Lonchura striata: one gene and its partner. The main gene of each other region encodes a partner of the protein of the gene in region 2 in a complex. Links are inferred from orthologs where the notes say so. Each region holds a gene or a part of one and is shown on either strand. Other genes may lie near its edges.

What was found.
Region 1: the proteins of MEP1A (region 2) and FETUB are in contact, whole or in part, in a cryo-EM structure (PDB 7UAI), measured with the Homo sapiens proteins. The link is inferred for Lonchura striata from reciprocal best matches to the Homo sapiens genes MEP1A and FETUB. Residues at the interface, in NP_005579.2 of Homo sapiens: Asp126, Gly127, Cys128, Trp129, Ser130, Glu131, Val132, Gln145, Gly146, Cys147, Tyr149, Ile152, His155, Glu156, His159, Tyr164, His165, Gln167, Ser168, Leu184, Gly186, Tyr187, His189, Asn190, Asp192, Tyr194, Tyr214, Gln215, Phe217, Ser218; in NP_001362516.1 of Homo sapiens: Phe109, Phe110, Lys144, Lys145, Tyr148, Met149, Thr150, Cys151, Pro152, Asp153, Cys154, Pro155, Ser156, Ser157, Ile158, Ser196, Ser197, Gln198, Trp199, Val200, Val201, Gly202, Tyr205, Phe206, Thr242, His245, Trp246, Phe249, Val250, Ser251.

Annotation. Positions count from the first base shown.
Region 1 is NC_134612.1:18,863,364-18,874,319, reverse strand, and holds the start of FETUB (fetuin-B), read right to left. Parts: upstream 5,574-10,956; 5' UTR 5,420-5,573; coding exon 5,198-5,419; intron 1-5,197. Other genes in the region: AHSG (alpha-2-HS-glycoprotein), read right to left, coding at 9,531-9,806, 10,643-10,723. UniProt on the Homo sapiens protein: Protease inhibitor required for egg fertilization.
Region 2 is NC_134605.1:108,043,898-108,054,471, forward strand, and holds the start of MEP1A (meprin A subunit alpha), read right to left. Parts: upstream 4,338-10,574; coding exon 4,269-4,337; intron 4,186-4,268; coding exon 4,161-4,185; intron 4,064-4,160; coding exon 4,016-4,063; intron 3,507-4,015; coding exon 3,466-3,506; intron 3,373-3,465; coding exon 3,294-3,372; intron 2,973-3,293; coding exon 2,855-2,972; intron 1,401-2,854; coding exon 1,225-1,400; intron 1-1,224.

The DNA of each region.
Region 1 (10,956 bases), on a different chromosome or scaffold from region 2:
CCGGCGCGTCGCCCCCCTCCCCGGGCCGGGGCCCGGGACCCCCCGCGGAAACCTCCCAAAAATCCGCGGCTTCCCCATCCGCCCCGCCACCGCCGGTCGGTGACCCGGTACCGGAGGTGCAGCGGCGCGCAGAGCTCTGTTGGCGGGGACTGGCGGGGGAAGCCAGAGGCGCGGGAGCCGCGGCTCGGGAGGGGATGCTGCCCACGCCGCCTCCATACGCCTTTGAAAATGGCGCCGGCAGCCAAGGGGAGGGGCGGGGCGCGGGCAGTCTCGGCGCGAAGAGCCCAGAGGCGCGGAGTTTCGCTAATGCGCGTGTGCGGGAGAAAGAGGAGGAGAGCGGCAGAGGGCTCGGAGCCAATCGGCAGCCGCGCCTGACGCTGCCACCATATAAGGGAGAAACCCACCCCTGCAGGAGGCAGGGCGAGCCTGGGGGGCGGCAGCGGCGCCACCCCCGGGGGGAGGAGCGGGGTCGGAGCCGCGCAAAACGGCACCGAGCCCCGGAAGTGCGCTGGCATTCGACTTCCGACTCGGAGTCCAGCAGCAGCTCCGGCAGCTCGGAAGAGCTGCCGGGAGCCAGCTGGGACTCTGAGACAAAGAGAATAGAGCCAATGCAATTTAAAACAAAACCAAGTAAAGCTTTAAGCCGCACCGAAAAGCAGCCACAATACGAACCAGCCCAGTTTACCGACTGGGGAGAAATAAAAATAGCCTGTGCTGAATGGTCCCCAGCGGCCGCCGTACAAGCCTTCCCGGTGAGGATCACCGGCCCGGAAGGGAACCAGCAGAGGGTATATGCCCCGGTAAACCCAAAAGATGTACAATCAATTGTCAAAGCCATTGCAGAAAAAGGAATCAATTCGGCCATGGTCTCTACACTAATTGATGGTCTTTTTAGTAATGACGACCTGCTTCCCTTTGATATCGAGCGAATAGGTCGTATGATACTTGATGGCGCGGGAATGATTGTATTTAGACAAGAATGGGAGGATAATTGTACAAAGCTATTAGCCCAAGCATCTGGCGCGAGGCAGCCACTACACAGATCGACTTTATCCAGGCTTATGGGAAAGCACGATGATATGATCACGCCTCAGCAGCAAGCCACGCAGATGCGGGCTGAGGAGGTCAGGGCGACCACTCAGGCTGCCAGGGAGGCTATTCGTGCAGCCTCCCGGGTCGTAGCCAAGCCATCGCCGTGGTCCACCGTGAGGCAGGCAGAGAGCGAAAGCTTCACGCAGTTCGTAGATCGCCTGCAGGCAGCAATAGACTCCTCTACCCTGCCGGCAGAGGCAAAGGGCCCCGTGGTAGCTGACTGCTTGCGCCAGCAGTGCAACTCTGTCACCAAAGATATCTTACGTTCCCTGCCAGCCGGAGCCAGCCTGGCTGACATGATCAGACATGTAGTGAGGGAAGAACACCTGACACCCATTCAGGCAGCCGTCCACACCCTGACCAGTGCCATGGCGTGTTTCAAGTGTGGTGAGGCAGGTCACATCGCGGTGAGCTGTCCCCAGCCGACACGGCAGCCCGCCGCGGCGCCTCCACCCCAAACACGCCAGAGAGGAGCCTGTTGGAGCTGCGGGAGGAAGGGGCATCTGGCCAAGGAATGCAGGTCCCGGCCCCAGGGAAACGGGAGAGGGAGGGGGCGTGCGGGCTGCACCCAGCCTCCTCCCGCTGCAAATGCAAGGCAGCCCATCTATGCCAACCCCCAGTAGGACGGGGCGCCCTTATACCCCGTACCCCCACGGGAGGCAGCCAGCTTCGTACCCTCGCCAGCGAATTTCGCAACACAGCCTGCGGTACCTTCGTACCCACTACTGCCGCAAGCAGCGCCTGTGCCGCAGGGTCAGCAGGGGACGCCCCAGAACGGGACCCCTGGGTGGCCCTGGCCATGAAAATAGGGAAGGAGCCACCGAAGGTGTGGGGGACGTGCCGCCTTTATGGCAGTCAAGACCCCCATGTCATAGGGCTTCAGTTTTGGGCAGACACAGGAGCAGACTGCTCGATTTTTCCCCAAGCACTGTGGCCCCGACACTGGCAATGCAAAGAAGTCCCCCCAGTGAACGGAGCGGGAGGGCCGTCCCGAGCTTGAAAAAGCACCCAATTAATAGCCATAACGCTTCATACAAAAAAGAGACCAGAACAAACAGTAGCAATCCACCCCTACATTTTGCAAAACTCTCCACCCCTGATAAGAAGGGACATCCTTGCTATGTTAGGAGTCAGGATTACAAATTTATAATAAGGGCCACTGCCGTACACCCACTGCTGCCAATCAAACTGACTTAGAAATCACCAGACCCCGTATGGGTCGAGCAGTGGCCCCTGTCAAAGCCTCGAATAGTAGCCTTGCTAGAACTGGTCGACCTCGAGCTGCAAAAGGGTCACATAGAACCCTCCACCAGCCCGTGGAACACCCCTGTGTTTATATACTAGAAACTACCTTTCTAACCCTAAACGAAACCAAACCGAACCTGACTAACTCCTGTTGGCTTTGTTATGATGTTAAACCCCCTTTCTACGAAGGCATTGCTTTAAACACCCCCTTCAGTTACTCCACAGCCAGTGCCCCCCACCAGTGCAGATGGGACACTCCCCGCAGAGGAATCACCCTGAGTCAAATCACAGGACAAGGCAAATGTTTTGGCAATGCAACTTTAGCAAAGCAGAAAGGCAACTTCTGCACTAAAGTTGTCAAGCCCAACAGAAAGATCGGTAAGTGGGTGGTCCCATCCGCATCTGGAATGTAAGTTTGCCAGCGATCCGGAGTGAGTCCTTGTGTGTTCCTTGCCAAATTTAATGACTCTATTAACTTCTGTGTCCAAGTTCTGATTGTTCCTAGGGTCCTATACCACTCAGATGAAGAAGTGTACCACCTTTTCGAAGAACCTGACAGACTGCACAAAAGAGAAATAATCACAGGTATAACTATCGCAATGCTGCTCGGCCTGGGAGCAGCTGGTACAGCCACAGGTGTCTCAGCCATCGCGACCCGACAGCACGGACTCTCTCAGCTGCAAATGACCATCGATGAAGACCTGCAGAGGATCGAGAAATCCATCTCCTATCTAGAGAAATCAGTCTCTTCGCTTTCAGAAGTAGTTTTACAGAATAGGCGAGGACTGGACCTCTTGTTCATGCAACAAGGAGGACTGTGTGCAGCTTTGAAAGAGGAATGCTGCTTTTATGCAGATCATACAGGAGTCGTTAAAGACTCTATGGCAGAACTCCGAGATAGACTGGCTCAAAGAAAGAAAGACAAGGAAACCCAGCAGAGCTGGTTCGAATCCTGGTTCAATCAATCACCTTGGCTCACCACTTTAATTTCTGCCCTGGTAAGTCCACTGGCAATACTGCTTTTAGCTGTTACCATAGGACCATGCCTGCTGAACAAGCTAGTCTCATTTGTTCAGGCCCGTCTAGAACGGGCGAACATTCTGTTCGTGGGCCAGCAACAAATGCTGTAAACCAAAAAGTGCGAACACAATCAGCTGCAAAAGCCTTCAAAACTCACCTTGCGAGATTTACTCAGGTTTACCAAAAACCCTTTTTTCCTTACCAAGTTACAAGTTTGTACCTCACTCCAGTGCCTATATCTACGACTACCTCATGTTACTTATGAAAAGGAGGGGGGAGATGTAGTAGATAGGGACAGGCGAACGGAAGATTTCGGGATGTGACGGAAAGAAAGACCCCTTCCCCCTCTCACCCTGCAACATGTTATCCATTTACCCCAAAGAATGTAACCACACCTAACCCAGTAGTTTTCCACTCCTGACTAACCCTAGAGACCCTACCAACCCCCCCTGACGTAACAGAGTCCCCCAAGACTATTTAAACCCATGAGATAAGATAATAAACGCTTTCGACCGTCCACCACACTGGTGCCTGCGTGTGTCGTTGGCCCGAGTGGCCCAGGGGAGACTGGGCTGCCATGCTGTTCCTTGAAACCAGGTCGCCTTGCCTTCCCCTGAAGGCAACAGGATCAAAAATCTCCAGTGTTGAGATATCTTTGGCTCAGGTGAAGGGTGAAGTAGGGAGAGGACTGGGGTGGTTTGCAGCATGTCTGCCCCCACCATGCTGCACTCTAGAGTGGTCATAGGGGGCTCTAATTATTGTCAATAGGAAATAACCCCAGGAAGGGGTCTGAGTACCAAACTCCATGAAATAGCCCCAGGAAGGGGTCTGAGCACCTAGCTCCCTGCTTGCTGATGTGGATTCTGGGCCAGCTCACCTGCATCATGTAGAAAAATTCTGAAGAGACCTGATCCAGTTGTTCAGTGGGCACATTCTGTCACCTGAGCAAGGCAGTATAGAGACCATAGTGCAAAACACAGCAGAGCATCTTTAGCTGTGAAATCTCATGTTGCTGGAGTCCACAGTGTGTCTGCAGGAGCCATGTCCTTGTAAGAGCAGCAGGAAGAAATGTCATATCCTTGCTAGCACAGGTCTAAGCATCTGGCAATGAGCCTAATTTTCTTTAGAGTTCAGAAGTGAGCTTTTCAGGTAAGCTTATGGGAAGTGACCAGTCATTGCAGGGAATGCCAGCAGCAGGTTTCCATAGTGCCTAATCTGCTGCAGGCCCTTGTGAATTCATTTCAGGCTGTCCCTAGTTAGTGCCAATAGATTCAGTTATTGTAGCACAAAATTGTCATAAATTAAGCACACACAGAGAAATACGATACTTGAGGAAATGGGAGTGATATTCTGTAGGTATTTCCAGTGCATTTTTTGCCCTTGAACTGGTTTCAGGTTTCTTCTGGAGAATGAGTCATCTTTTAGAGGTCTGTGAAGGAATTCCTTGGTCCCAAGCAGGATGTGTTTACACCTGTTAGTGCTCATATCTTTTGTGCAAAACACACTATGACTTACTAGCCTTTGCACTCCAACTGCTCAAGGCAGTGGGAGGAAGGTGTAAAATGAAATTAAATCAGAGTAGTGGTGTTTCATATCAAATTTGAACTGATGCCTGGAGCAATTCCAAGGGCCTGCAGCAGAGAGTCATGACTGAGATTTGCTCTCTAATTGCCCACAGTGTGATGAAATTGTTTCTAGTCTGTGCATAAAGTTGACATGGCCTCTGGAGTCCTGTGAATAGAGCTTTGCATTTGCCTTTGGAAATATTTCTTTATTCAAATAGATATTTCTGAGAAATAGACACAGGGAGGAACATATATTGAGCAAGAGGGTGACTTACCTGTGGCTGTTCTAGGGCACTGATGATTCTGTAGAGGCTGAGTACGTAGCCCTCTTCTCGGTCAGCATTGATCTGGCGGAGAGCCAGGTCTGCAGCCTCCTCCACTGCGGGGTCATCGCAGCGAGGGCAGAGCAGGGCAGCCCCTGCTCCTTGGGCAGGAGGGGCAGCAGTGCAGGAGCAAAGCACCTGTATGCCAAAGAGCATCCAAACAAGCCAAACCATTCTGCCTAGAGAGCCAGTGCTGCAGATGAGGGTGGTCAGTCAGGACAGAGGGGCTGAGACCTGAGTGAGATAACAGATCTTTATAGTGGAGCTGTGTCTCTTTATAAACTTGTGCCCCCTTTTTATTGCATACTGACCATCACCTTTAAACCTACAGCTGCAACAGTAAACACTAAGTCAATGATTACAAGGTTTTACAGAAGTGTTGTTGCTCCCTCTGAGACCAGACAGCACTTTTTCCTTCTGGCTTTCCATCTCTAAATTTGACTTCACTGGGCAGATCATGCAATTTTGACCTCATGGCAAGGTATAAGAATACACACACAAATCTGCTTCCTTAAGAAACCAGATTTGTTTGAATAAATCTCTGTGCAGAACAGGCCTGGCTCCAGTTCTGTTCTGTCAGTGATCCAGTTCTTCTGCCAAATAAAATGAAGACAAGGGTCTCAGTAATTTGAACAGAAAATGGATAAATGCCACAAGGTTGACTGATTTTGCACTTTGTATTTGTTAAGTGACAATTTTAAACCATTACATTGACTCTATTATATGCAGTCAGTTTGGTTGTGATAGAAAGCTCAGTTTGGATTCATGCTGTGAGCATTTCTACTCATCTGGATGCCTACAGTTGAATGCTACCACTTAGCCTTGGAGGCATTGACACCCCTCAAAGGTCATGGCAAATTCTTCCCGGAGAAACTTCAGTTTGAAATGACAGCAGTGTGCCTTGTGAATAACCTGTCAGGAACTCCATGATGGAGACAAGGGGGAATAGCTTTACAAGTAGCTTCTATCTTGAAGATCTGGAGAAGGGGTAGGGACCAGGGACCATTACCTGGAGAGAATCCCAGTTCAATGTCACTGGTTTTCTACTAAGGGGCAATTCTTAAGCATTTCACCTTGAAGGATATCAGAAGCTGGGTCACCAGGTCCCTGGCTCTCATTTTTTGTCATGGGACTCTGTGATTGCACCTTTCTGCTGGAGGACACCAAGTACCTTTAAGTTTGAAAGTTGTATTGAATGAGGAAGAAAAAATGCAAGTGAAGGACATAATTGTCTCTTCAATACTACTATGATATCTGGAGTAGTTAAAGATTTCTACATTGCCACTTTTTTACTGGCTGTGTAAAGAATCTTAGCCCAGAAGTATTTAAACCATCTGGGAGACAGCAGAATATGTCCCAGGGAATGTGCATAGAAAGCTGGGATAATAGATACAGCCAAAAGACCTGCAACAGCACTGGAGCTGAAACTCTTCTAAGAAGACTGTTTGGTGGAAAACCCCGATTGCAGGACAGAAGGGACACATGGCTGCTGGAGTGAGCCCCTCACGTGTCGGGTGAGGGATAATGCACAGACTGTGTCCCAGAGGGATGGGATACAAAGGGTGAATGTTGGGATACAAGGGGTGAATGTTGAGAAACACTGCTGTAGCCATAGTACAGGAACTACAGCAGCAGCAATGCAGACTTGCTCCCATTGTTCCTTGTGCCTGGGGAAGCTTCCCCTGCGGCTAAAGGATAATAACTCATTTTCTTTATCCTTACAGTGCATGGCATTTCTATGGAGATGGGTGCCAGTTAGTACTGGCTGTGTTGGTGCTTCTTATAATAGGGGATTGTTATATCCCTGACTCTGTTCTTTGTACTCTTCCTCTGCCTGGAAAGGAAAAATTTCTCTGTTGAAGTAGCTGACCTCAAAACATGGACACAGCTGGGAAATCCAAGCATGTTCAGCCAAAGCAGCACATGAAGTATATGAGCTTTTGCGAAACAGCTTCTGAAAAAGCTGGAAAAACATTGTTAGCCAGCAATGCAGACCTGGCAAAACTCTTCATGCTACATTTCAAGGAATTGTATTTCATGTACCACCATTTCATATGTCTCATTGCCCAGAGAATCAATTGTTAAGTAGTGAATCTGTTAGTAAGGCCCAGGTGCATGAAAATGGGGCTATACTGGTGGGAGACAAAGTGGTTGCTTTAAAGCAGTCACCGAAAACAGATCTGTAAGGAGGCATGATGTGTCCTTAAGAGGACAAGTGTTAAGGAGAAAGAAAATGAAGTGCAGCTACCAAAATGGAATGCACAGAGAAAATTTTTTTCTTCCTGTTTTAGAAAGCAAGGGATTGTTTCACCAGGTATAGAACATCTGTGAAGTATGGAGACTGCAGATGTTTCTGCTACATATCTTTTCTTTATGTGGTTTGAAAAGGCAACAAGAAAATGCAGCATTTCTGGATTTCAGGGAACCTCAGGGGCAGGGATCCCTTCTATAAACATTGTTTCTGCTATAAGAAGATTTTCTAAGCCTGGAAAACATTCTCTCTTCTATGAATTAGTTTCTATTTCATTATATAGAAGACAATTTCTATGGTTTAGTAATGGTGATTCCTAGTTTTGAAAAGTTTCATGTATCTGGTGTCACAGTGATGCAAAACAAAATAGTTGCAGTTTCATTAAATCCTGTGCTGTGTCTCATGCAGTGAGATAGGAAGACCTCCTATCTTACTGCATTAAGAGATTTCTACAGCTTAATATTAGCACTTTTTGATGGAATGGCTGCATGCAGGTTATACTGGAGTCTCTGCTCTACAGAGAAGCAAAACCTCCCTGAGCCACTGACTGGCTGTGGCTGGTGCATTTGCCCACAACATGCTTCCTGCAAAACTCAGCATTTGCTTGAAATGTGAGAGCAGCTATCTTCACAGGCAGAGCTTGCCCTCAGTGTGCTCCCATAACATTAGGCTGTGGTTTATAGAGTCTGGGCTGATTTTCCTTTTCTTTACACACCCAGCTGAAGCACTGGTGCAAATGCCAATGATTTACCCCTTCCCCATTGACACAGCAGAGCAGAACCTTTCTGTATTGTGAGCTGTTGCACTAGCACCAAGAGCAAGTGTTAGTTGTGTTGCTTACTAAGTACTGGATGATTGTAACTAGGAGAACAGGACAGGTTATTTGAAAGAGTTCAGAAATGACATGTGTTCTGCAATTTTTTGCTGCCTGCATGATAATTATCTTGTAGCAAGTGCTGTTCCTGGTTAAACATTCATGACTGTCTTTGAGACTGTTCCCCAGGGCCTGCAGAATTCCAGTCTGGCTGGCAGTAAAGATCCTTCTGGCCCCAGCCCCTTATTAATTCTCTACCTAGAATAGATTCTGCCTCTAACATGTGCCAGAAATTCAGAGAAGATTTGACTACTACAATAATGGTAAATTGCCATCCCTGTCAGGGTCCTGTTATATGAGATACATGCCAGTCATATATTTTTTATTCCCTTGAATTGGCACTTCCTCATATGCACACAGACCGTGCAGGACCCCATGATTATACTGCACCTGTGTGTCTGCTGGAAGACAGACAATACACATGTGTTTGGTTGCAGGGATTGATGCTTTCAGCCTGCCAGCAATGACAGTGTCCTCCTGACTCTCTGCTCTTTTCATAGACATGGATGCTCTTGTGCCATGTCCAAAAGTTTTGAGGTACTTCTGGTGCATATCAAAAGTAGGTACATGGTGGGAAACATTATAAGTGGAAGGGAAAAGTACTTTTTTTCCTGCCACCTCTTTAATGTTACTGGTGTGTGATCAAAAGGGAGGACTGACCTGATTTTCCGCAGTGCTCAGCACCCACACATCCCAGTGAAGCTGATCAGAAGTGCAGGAGCTTAGTGTTTTTGAAATCAAGCCCAGAATATGACTCATAATGCTGTGAAGGAGATACTTGACAACTAAATGAATATATATACAGATAGAAGGTAGCAAAGCTTTGAACATTTTATTGTGAACTAACCTTTCAGGTGGTTCTTCTGTCACAAAGCTACAACTGTTGTACAGCTCTTACAACAGTTTCACTGAAACAATATTTTCTGTATTTTAACTAGAGAAGCCCTCTATGTAAAGTAAACTACGGCTATATATTGTAATCATCTATATTTTGGAGCAGGCCTTTACAAGACTCTGGCCATGGCTCTGCTCTCTGGAGAGTAAAACTCATTCAGGCTCAGAGTCAAGCGTTCTCACCCATTTGTAGTCGATATTGTGGTCTGTGTGTTGCTGTTGCACTGATCCCTCAGTTTGGCTGCACTGCATATCTGAAACACAGCCTAGATATCGAAATGGCGAATCTTCCCAGGGCAGGGAGGAGGAAGAGGCACAAAGCCAACTGGGCGAGGTACTTTGTCATGCTGAGCAGCCACTGCAATTGCTCTCTTTGTTACTGATTTTGCTGCGAGCGCGGAACGCAAAATTTCTGAAGAGCTGGATTCGGATGCAACGGGGTTATTGTGGAAAAGCCCAAGATTATGGTTTGTGACACCTACAGCACTGGGTGCCAGTCCTGCTGATGTGTCTTGACCTGGATGAGCGTAGGTAACTCCAGGCTGGAAAATAAAAACAGGTCATGTTTGTTTTCAGGGACCTGGGGCTTTTCACATACAGGTAATTGATACCTTACTAAGTACCCTGCTCCTAAATAGCTATAGGCCTGCAACCCAGGTTCAAATGTTCCTGACTATCACAGAAGTCTGATTTGCATTGGAACCCATGCACAAGAACCCAGGAACACATTTTTTATAGCCAATGAATCATTAGGACCAAATTCTGTGCTATATGATATTTCAGAGCCACCTGCACAGCTGATGAAACATTCAAGACCAGCTGTCTCATTCTCTTTTTCCCATACCTTTTAATTAATTACTGTTGAGCTACCAAGACCTGTTGTCCATAGGAAGTGTTCAACCACCACCTAGTCCTCCTGAGACCAAATGTAGGCTAAAATACCTGAGAGTACTCAGGTCAGGTGCACATTTCCCTCCCCTTGCTACAGCAGTGCAGGACAAGGTCCCTGAATTCAGTCATGTCTAAGCACTAAAAGCCTCCAGCCTCGCAATGCTGATTTTTGTTTTACATTTTTCTGCCCCTTCCCTTTAACTGAGCAGAGTTTGGTTCCCTTTGCCCTGACAGACATGTGAATCTCTCAGATGGTCAAGAGGGCAAATTGTGTCAAGCATGGATGGCAGACATGGCTTAATTCCCAGCACAGAAATCCATGGGATACTCAGCAGCTACCTTGCCTTGGCTTTTAGGATACAAAGTTAAGTTATCACAGGTGGCCAATGCAGTCTACAATGAGAGAAGTAAACTCAAGATGATGCCATGTAACAGTACCAGTAGGCTAGAATGCCCAGGAAAGCAAGGGAATATCTGGAGCTGGTACCTGATGTCCATACAACTGGCAGTCCACCTGAAGGTCTTGTGAGGGACGTTTTACCATCACTGCTGTGCAGAAACCAAAATTCTGGCAAAATAGAACATAGTTAAGAGAAAATAGTTAGAAGATAGAGGGAAGCTGGATCAGAATTTTTAATTTCAGCACATTTAGAAATGGCAACTTTTTCTTGTGTTTTATCTGAGCAGCAAAGTGCTTGGTTTTTAGCCTGCTGGGCTCAAAAAAAACCCCAAAAAAACAAAAAAACAAACAAAAAAAACCCCCAAAAAAAAACCTCTTTAAATGCCTAAGCAGCAAATAAG
Region 2 (10,574 bases):
TGGAGAAGGAGAGGCCCTGAAACTCAAAGGAAAAAAATATGACAGCCTGGAAGTGTCTTCAGGTTTGGTTCTTCCTTGAAATAAATAATGCCCTAGCAATTTCTGGGGAAAAAAGAAGGATATTTTTACCCTAGATTTACAATATTGATATGATATTTGTATTGATATGGCTTTTGGAAACATGTTTCTCATGTTTTCTTGGTGAAATAAGTTGTCCTTAGAGAAAGGTGTGTGCTAGGGCAAAGAGAGGGAGCCATTTCACATGCTTTGGTATAGAAGTAAAAAGAGCTTGCCAGCTTTTACTATCGCAAATAATGTTATCAGAATATTTGACACTGTTTTTCAAAGACAAAACAGCACATGACTGTGGTGGTTAACTACACTTGCTCTGCTTAACAGTTGCCCTCCCTTCTGCAAATCACAAAGATCTTCAGTTCAAGGCTTGAGATTATATAAGAGCTTGGAATTGTTTTCTTACAGAGACTTGAATTGCACCTTTTATCAAAAATTAAAAGAACCCCCTCTCTTTTATTTTGTCCTCTTCAAATAAGTCATTGTTATATAATACAGAATCAGATCTTACAGAGAACAACAGGAAAAACTGTCTAGGGATCAGGGGGACTGTGAAGAGTTTGCTGAAACTCATAAAGCTCCTAAATATGGTGATACTAAACCTGAAGGCAAGAACCTGCAGACACACCGGGTAGGAGGGAGCAGGACAGAACCCTATTTGATATTTCCCATACAATCTAATTATTTTAAGGGCTTTTTCACGTGCAAAGTGAATATTTTCAGTTTCAGGAAAGCCGGAGTCTCTGAATATAAAAACCTTTCAGATTTTGAAAGGATCATTGCCTACAGAAGAACTATCTCAAAACTCATCATCTAAATAAGTTTACAATTTACATTACATGATTAAAGGAAACAGATTCATAGATGGCAAGTAATTAGTTTAAAATAAGAGAGCAGAGCATTCCAAGAGCCAAGGGGAAATAAAAGTCCTGATTTCCAAGTGAGGCCTCTCTGTTCTGGCCTTAAACAATGTCTGGGTTTGACCAGAGAAGTTGCACCAAAATTTCTTAATTTAGTGTTCTCAGGTGCGGCCCACTGAAATTCTAAATTTTCTAAAATTCTATCCTTAGGAAGGTCTTTAAATCTAGAAGTGAAAATGGGGTATTGATAAATCTACACTTTGCAAAATCTATCTTGAACGATAAAACCCACCTGCAATAATTTCATCCCACCAGATATTCACGTAGTCATCCCGGTCCATCCTCGACTGCTCATGGTAAAATCCTAAAGCGTGCAGGATCTCATGTTCCACAATTGCTCTGTAGTCACACCCTGACCCAATCGAGAGGTTCTGTCCAGTCTGCAGGTCCCCCACCATGGACCAACACCTAAGAAAGACAGAGAGTTTACTCTCTGTTCAGTAGTTTTCTTCTCTGTGTTTAACTTTTCAATTTGCTCACTGGATTTAGAGTAAGATTATAGAAGTTTTCAATATTAAAGGAATCACATAAATCATTATTTGGATGCTGACCATGTGCCTTGATATTCTAAAAATACTCTAGCCTGAAAGCAGACTAATGCCCAGAAACTATCACTTCATTACTTATCCTCTGTGTCAGAGAAGATCACCCTGCACTTTTGAAAGCCACAGAAGTTTTGATCAGCCACCATCTGGCCAAGAAGCATAAAGCACACAATATACATGGAAATAGTAAATTCATCAAAACAGGCTGAGCGTTTTTGCAATAACTTGGGCTGGAGAAAAGACCCCAGGAGTATTTGGAACAGCAACATTTGGTCCTTTTTAACAGCAACCGTGTTTTGCATTTGCCAGAGGTATGAAAGGACATTTCTAGTATTAAGATCTTCAATGCTGACTTGTCAAAAATCATGGTGCTTGTAAACTTTTAAAAGAAGTGTCATAGGACACTCAAGGAAGAGCTGAAGGCAGAAACATGAACTTCTGGGGGAAAAAGTAATAGTCACAGCTGATACAGTGAGAAGATTTTTGTGCTTTTCTGCATTTTCTTTCAAAACATACTTAGCTGTAGGAAACAAATCCTTTCACTTCTTGAAAACTTGAATCTCTGTGCATAAAACCCTTTCAGAATTTGAGAGACTATTCATTAAAGAAGAGCCATGTCAAAGCAATAAGAAATATTACAATAAATTCTCTTCTCTTCTCTTCTCTTCTCTTCTCTTCTCTTCTCTTCTCTTCTCTTCTCTTCTCTTCTCTTCTCTTCTCTTCTCTTCTCTTCTCTTCTCTTCTCTTCTCTTCTCTTCTTCTCTTCTCTTCTCTTCTCTTCTCTTCTCTTCTCTTCTCTTCTCTTCTCTTCTCTTCTCTTCTCTTCTCTTCTCTTCTCTTCTCTTCTCTTCTCTCCTCTCCTCTCCTCTCCTCTCCTCTCCTCTCCTCTCCTCTCCTCTCCTCTCCCTCTCCCTCTCCCTCTCCCTCTCCCTCTCCCTCTCCCTCTCCCTCTCCCTCTCCCTCTCCCTCTCCCTCTCCCTCTCCCTCTCCCTCTCCCTCTCCTCTTCCCATCTTCTAATAATTTCCAGACTTAAATTCTAGCTATTCACATTCACATTCTTGGTAAGTTAAAAGGATGTACACGGAGGTCTTCATCAAAATGGAAAACCCAGACAGGCTGGGATTCACCTTCAGAGCTCATCCTCTAAATAACAGCAGAGGGAGCAGCTGCTTGCAAGGTTTTAGTCTAAGAACATAGAATGAGTTCTTTTCCCGGTGGCTTCTTTTTCTCCGCTGACAGCAAACCTTTAGAAAATGGAATGAGTTCCCAGCTGATTCTACACGGCAAAACTAAACAGAAATTGATACTACCCTTACCCATCTTGTTTCCTAAAGAAAATGTAGGTTCTTTCTCCTTCATATGGCTTGAAATCAATGCAGGACTTCAGGCGGAACATTTCAAATGCCTGGAGAATGACTCCTTTGGCATTCAGGTCTGGAAAACAAGGACAGAACCTTTAATACATTGCAGTTTGTTCACCTTGGATGGGGCAAAATATGTACAGATACACATGTGGAACCAAAGGAAAAATGATTGAAAAGAGAAATTATTTAATTTGACTAAGTTATGGTTTGCTGTGTTATCTGTAGAAGAAAGAAAAATAATTTTGATATAAACAAGACTACAATAAGTAGTTATTAGTGAAGTTTAACATTTTTAATTTGAAACAGTTCTGAAAAAGGCAAATTTTTTATCACAGTGACTGTAGTGCAAATAAGGATTGGAGATAAAATCTGAATAAAGTATCTGCATTACCTAGGTCATCACCCAGAATATAGGGAATGGGGAACTTCCATCTGTAAGCCTCATTTCTTAAGGCATTTCGCTGATTTTTCTGAAAAGGGAATTAACAGTTGGTGATGCATCTACTGTAGCGAGATGAGCTGAAACAATTAGGACAAGCAACAGAAAGTTTTTAATTACTTACAGGGAGCAAGATATCACCCTGAAAGAGGTCCAGTCCAGCAGCTGAAATAGAATTTAATCAAAGATAGTGTCAATGAATTTCAATTATATTTCATTCCATAAACCACATTGAACCTGCTTATACAAAGTTAATGTCCTTGGGCATCTACAGAAGATAAATAAGGACCAGCCTCTATACACTGAGTTACAGGTAATAATAAAAGTGTTGGCACAATTACCTATGGTCATGGATAGAGCTTTGATGAGCTCTGCTTGCTCTCAGGCAGTGACAAGAGTCACACAATTGGACAGTGACCAATCTAAGTTGTTTTCCATGTTTACAACACTTTATAAAAATCATATGGAGATGGGCAGAAAATGCAGTTGAGACTGCAGAGTTCTTTCTGGAAATATTCAGGTGTCACAGAGAGAGAAATGTAATCCTTGCGCACTTGATTTTAATTCTCTTGTTACCATGAGCTACCTGGCTATCAGCCTCCTTGACAACACTGAAAACTCAGCATAATGCTCACAACTTTTCAGGCCTTGTGAGAATTTAAGTGTGAACTCACCCAAGTTGATTTGGGGAATGTCTTTGAATATCTCACTAGCTCCAGCATCTGCAAGACAGTCAAAACATAAAGTGTTTGGATGTGGTGGCTCACAGCAAGTAGAAGGAAATGCTTCAAAACTCAAACCAGCTCACACAGCACTTACCAGTTTCACTGGAGAGCTGTCCCACCTGGAGAAGAATGGAATACAACCCGTATAAGGTATGAGATGCCTCTGGACTGAGAGGAGCCTGTAGAATTAGGTTTTACTTACAGAGAGTGGAGAACCATAGACAGAACACAGCAGAAGTGTCAGGCAGAGTGGGAAGATGCTGGAGCCCATTCTTGCAATGGGAACAGAAGCTGGTCCCTCTCTTCTCTGGCAATATATAGGGCACGTTGCTGAGCTTTCCATGGAGCATCAGCCAATAAGCATCAGACTTTCCACCTTTGAAATATTATTCTACCAGTTAGATTTTCTCCTAGATGGCACCTAATGGCATTGGTCTTATCAGCTACCTAAGTCCACTTGGTGGAACATTGCAGAGAGGAATGTGGAAACTTCATGTCTTCAGTGCAGCAGGTGAAAGACCCACCCAGGCTTCACATAACAGCTTCTCCATCTGGCCCAAAGTTGCTGACTCCTTCCCCTGTGTTTGTTATCTGTCAGCATTATGATCTTGACTGCACAGGAAAAAAGCAGAAATGTTTTGGATTACTCTTAAGCAGAATTACTCCAGGTTTATAGCACTTCAGTGCCATTATAATTTGGCACAGTTCTGCTTTCAAATAATAATTAACACTACATTGTAAAGATTAGAAGTAAGAGAGATATGATTATGAGTCCCCTGAAATGTCTTTCCTCACCTGATCCCACCCCAGATCTAATGCTCCATGCACAACCTGCCACTCCCTGCCTCCAGAACAGTCACTTTAGAGCAGTAATCCTTGGCCTTCCAGGTGGGCTTCAGAGATCATAAACTCTTGTCCTGCATCTTGCTATCTTCTTTCTCAGGGACGTGGGTCAGGAAGGGCTCCATGGAACTCTAGTTTGCTGTGCATCAATATTCCCACAGCTCCCATGTGCCCTGGAGTGCCTGAGTGCCTCTAGTTTAGGCATAGAATCCTGCTCCTCCATTTCACATCTGCAATTCCAAGTCATGCATGTGAGGATGTTCACCTCTGTGTTCAGCAATTAGATAGAAAAGGGCTTGTGCCATGACACCACTACCCACAGCACAAGGCAGAGAGCTTGAGTAAGTAGGTTTTAAATAGGAAATGGGCCTGTTCTAGAAAGAAGTCAGTCCTTCAAGCTAAGCTACATATTTTTCTCTAAACAAATCAAAGTAGGAATCGATTCATAAGAGATAGCACTTCAGAGGAAAAAGTGCAGAGATCTTTTCTTGTTTAGAGAAGAAGGGCCCCAGAGCACTAATCCTTCACCTAACATAAATGAATGTTCTTCAACACTTTCTTTTAGGAATGATTGTTGCTGACACCTAAGCTGAACAGGTCTTACTACTCGTAAAATAAGCATGTCTCAAGATACATCATGTCAAGGCTGTTTTCACAGGCGAGCAAAGAGAATCAAAACAGAGCACCAAGGCCATATTTCCAGATGTTTGGCAGTGGATATGAGAAAGTAAGCAAAAAATAAAAAAATGAAGCAAAAGTAGAGCTGTCTGAAAAACATTTGGGTTTTAGTACCCTTAACTTTAAAATAACTCAAGCACCTAAAGCAGATGTCTAAAGATAAGTCATTCTGAGGGCATATATTTGTTTTCATATATATATAGGGGTTCTCTTGGATGCCTTTTAGGCACTGGCCTAGGCTCTAAGGTCTCCCTGGAGCCTTCTCTTCTCCAGGCTGAACAGCCCCAGATCCCAGCCTGTCTCCATAGCAGAGGGACTCCAGCGCCAGTTTCATTTTGTCCTCCCTGAAAGAGCAGTGCATGCACATTATTCCATTAGCTGCAGTTCTGTGAAAACTTGGTGATGGGTAAAGCTGCTTCTATTCCACTCTGGGAAGTACAGCAGGTACCCCTTGGTCTCTTACACTACATTGTATGAAGTGCCCAAAACTGCTGTGCATCAGTATTCCCACAGACAAGGTCCACCCTGGATTCCTAGACACAGGCACTACCCGGTGTCACTAAATGCAGATAATACCTTTTGTTAATCTGCTTGCGCTGGTTTTAACTCCACAGTAACACAGAAAAACTCCGACACAGAAATGTGGCTGAAATTTATTTCCTTCATAAAAGCAAGAACAAAAACAAATGTCTCCTGAGCTCAAAAAACTAGCACTCATATCAGGCTGGCACCAACCACATTTTTTAATAAAAAAAATTACCCATCCACCTTCCCAATTTTTAGGTAAGTCTGTTTACCGTTGCAGGGCTTGAAATCAACAAAAGACTGAACTTGTGAAATGCCTCCAGGTTAACAACTTCAGCATTCAGATCTGAAATACACAGCAGAGGATAAAAACAGTGGTTGCTCTGCTTTTAAAGTATTATAAATATCTGTAATTCTAGATAGAAAGAATGAATAAGTGTACATTAAAAATATGAGCATATATAAAAATATCTGCCTGGATGAAAGAGCAGAAAGGTGTTAGCAAAATTCCCTACCTGGAGTAGTTTTGGAAAAGGTCATAGAGAGATAATATCTTATTAGATAAACTGATAGTGCTGAGACAAACAAGCAGGCTTTTGGACATTCAGGGCATTGTTCAGGTACCAGTGGAAAATTTTATTGCATGTTATAATGTAATCTGAAATGTTGTCAACTTGGAGCTCAGGACCAGTAAAAGAAAATACAGGACAGATACATTTGATTCTAAAATTAGTGTACCATTTATTTTTAGTCCTGTATTATTCAAAACTTAAAATAGTATATAAATTCAGATAGCAACAAAGATAATGCCCTAAACTACTTAGAAAATATCTATATATTCTCTTGGCCTGTACTGAGCTCATACTGGTAGGAAGAGACAAAACACAAAGGGTAGAGCAGATCAATATGAAGGTATTTCAGAATTGGATTCCCTGACTTGATTACTCACCCCACTGCCCTGGCTGTGCTTTGCTCAGTGCAAGCTCCACTCTGAGAGATCATCATTGGTGACAAAGAGACAGAATAACCCAGATCCTCAAGCCTGACACTGATCAAACAGGGATCACTCTCAAAATCACAGCACTCTCCACCACAGAAAAACATCTCTGCTGTTTGTGTCACCCAACACACGCCCCAAAACCAACATTCAAATAGTCAAGAGTGACACTGGCCCCAAGTAAGGGGATACCCAGCACATTTACATCCCTGCACCTGCCCTGCTAAAATCCCCCCAGCAGCAGCAGCAAAAGCAGCAGCAGCAGCAGCAGCAGCAGCAGCAGCAGCAGGAGCAGCAGCTCTGTCAAGCTCCTCTTGCCACCCCTGACACTCCACAAGAGCAGCCACTGACCGGCCTCAGGCTCTGCTGCCACAGCGCCCTTGGCCAGCACAGCTCTGCTCCCCAGCTCACAGCATGGAAGCTTGTCACTCTTCACAGAAATCCAATGTCACTTCATATGGGATCATGGCTTTCGCCATCATCTCCCTGGAGGTGTTTGCTGGCGTGTGGATAAATGCTTTTATCATTTGTGTGCTTTGCATTGCCTGGGTCAAAAAGAAAACACTGAACTCAAATGAGAAGATCTTGCTGCTGCTGGGATGCTCCAGGATTTCCTTTTTGTGCTTCTCATGGGTAAACTACTTCCTTTCAATAATTTGTCCCAATTACCTTTATGTTCGCCCGATATTTCAAGTACTTGCATCTTCCTTAACCTTTTTTAATTATTCCAGCTTGTGGGTTTCAGCCTGTCTTTGTGGTTTCTACTGCATAAAAATTGCCAATTTCAGGAACCGGTTCTTCATCTACCTGAAAGTAAAAATTGACAGGATGGTGCCCTGGCTCTTGTTGGGGTCAGAGATTTTAGCCTTGGCAAGTTGCATTGTTATCTATGACATCGCTGAAATTCTGCAGAGTGGCAACTTCACTTTCACCTCCCAAGAAAATTTTTGGGAAGCAAGAATCACAACAGATAAACATTTTTTTCTCATCTTTGTTCCTTGCTGGCTTTGGATATGCTGCTTCATTCATGGCAGTCATCTTTTCTGCTGTTTTCCTTCTCTTTTCTCTCTGGAGACACAAGCGCAAGATGCAGACAAACTCCATGAAGGACCTCAGCGTGGATGCCCACATCAGAGCCATGAAATCTGTCCTCTCCTTCTTAGTGATGTACAGCATCAACTTTGTATGTTTGGTCTTAACAATAATTTATTCCATGAAGAGTGAAAATACCATGATACTTCTTATATCCATATATCTGTGTGCTTTTCCAGATATTCATTCCCTTATTCTGGTTTTCAGCAATCCCAAGCTGGAAAAGGCACTGCTGAAGATTCTCTCCTATGTAAAGTGCAAGTTTTCCACAAAGTAGGAACTGTGATAAAAGCTGGAGCCCATGCAAAATGTTGATCTTTCACTGTAGAAAACAAGTAATTGAATTTTTGCTGCAGCTCTCCAGGCAGTGTAGATGATTCTGATGCTCAGTCTTCAACATCCAAGTTAATAACGTTTCATTCATATCTATTGACCTCAATTATTTTGAGCTAAATAGATTATTATCATTTTTAGATTTAGCTAAATCTTTGAGATAAATTTTTGTTGTTAACAAAGTCATTTAGCCCTGATGGTAGGAATGATGCCTAAGCCCCTGTGTGGTTAAAGGATTAATGTGGACATGAGAGCCTGCTGGTGGGGGGATGGATCATCAGGCAGAGGCCCTTAACCTCTGCCTGAGCTCAGTGGGGTGATGCTAATTAGGTGTTCAGCCTCTGCCCAAGACTCACAGCTTTGCAATCAGAACCCTGGGTATCCCTCATCTCCATAGCAGCTGGCTGCCCACCACCATTTACCACGGCAGCAATAATGTATTCTGACTGCAGCTTCACCTGCACTTCTCCCAAGAGTATAGACTTGGCATTTGAAATCCTCCCTGGCAGAGGATGAGAATATTACCCCACTGTGCAGACAGGACAACAGGATTGGTTCACTCTCCTCCCCAAGGCAGGGAACATCTCTTTGTTGAGATTTGCTCTTTCAACTGTGTCAGATTGTACCCTGGTGAAATTCTGTTCACAGGCCTAGCTGATGGTGAAGTTGTGCTTAATGAATTACCCATTCCTCTTATGTTTTTTCTTCTTCTCTTTTTCTAAATATATTTAGAGCTAATCCAATGAGTGTATTTATTAGTGGCAATTCTCAATTTGTATTTCTACAATAAAATGCATTATTTGTGATTCTGTGACTCTGAAAGTTCTTATTGAACATGACAAGACTTATGCGCTGAATTTGTCATAATCAGAAATTAAGCCGAGCTGCACCCATACCCTTTGATCTCTGAAGACCAGCAAGGGCTTTATTTTCTACCAAATTTCTATACTCTTAATGGAACAGAAAAATATCCAACACTGGTACACAAACTGGCTGCAAAAAATGAAATAACAATACTGCAAACCTGCCACAAATATTTTGGTATTCACTGAGTGAAATGGCTGCGATACATAGGTTTATCTCTATTTTGGTTTACCTTTCCTGCTGTGGCCCTGTGCTGTGTGGTGTATTATGGGCTGTATCCCTGTCTGGCAGTGGCTGATAGCTCTGTGTGAACACGCAGAGCCCCCTGCCCACTCCAGCCCTGCGTGTCCTCTGTGCCCACTGCCTGCAAGGACAGGATTGCCTGCTCTGTGTCACTGCTCTCCTGGCCTGACCTGGAGATGAGATTGGCTTTTCCCAGTGCACTCTGGCTCAGTGGAACACCCAGCTAACAGGCTTTGCTCTCGGTCAGGGAAACAGCTTGAGGAGTCAGGAGTGGAAGAGACAACTTGTTAAGAGCTGACTGCAGCCCCTATTGGATTTGCCTCTGTGCTGCTGTTGTGGGGGAGGTGGAGGAGCTGGGGATGATGGAGTGAAGTTGAGCCTTGGATGAAAGGGGTGTGGAGGCAGTGCAATCAAGTTTTCTATTTCTCCCTCATTATCCTATTCTATCTTCTATATTTAAATAAAATAATTTATTTTTCCTGATGTCAAATATATTTTGTCCATGACAGTAACTGGTAAGTGATCTCCCTGCTTTTATCTCAAACCATGAGTTTGTCCATCCTATTTTTCAACCCTGCCCTGCCTGTGGGTGTGAGAGAAGGAAGAGATGGGTGGAGTTCTAGCAGCTGCCTGAGGTCAACCCATCACAGCAGGTGAAATACGAAATAGTGCCAGCATATACAAAACAGAACCTGAATTGGTCACTTCTACCACCAGCTCAGATCCAAAGGCACATCGTAAGCATCTCTTCTGGACACATCTCCCCTGTGAAAGGCCTTGAAAGGACAGGAACAGCCACACCTCCCTTCTTCCTCTGCTGCTGCTCATGAACATCCTTTAACCTGACAGTCCTGACCACTTTCACAGGAAAGCCCTGGAAGATCCATCTTATTCCCTACATGCAGTACAACATCCATCCCTCACAACCTCATA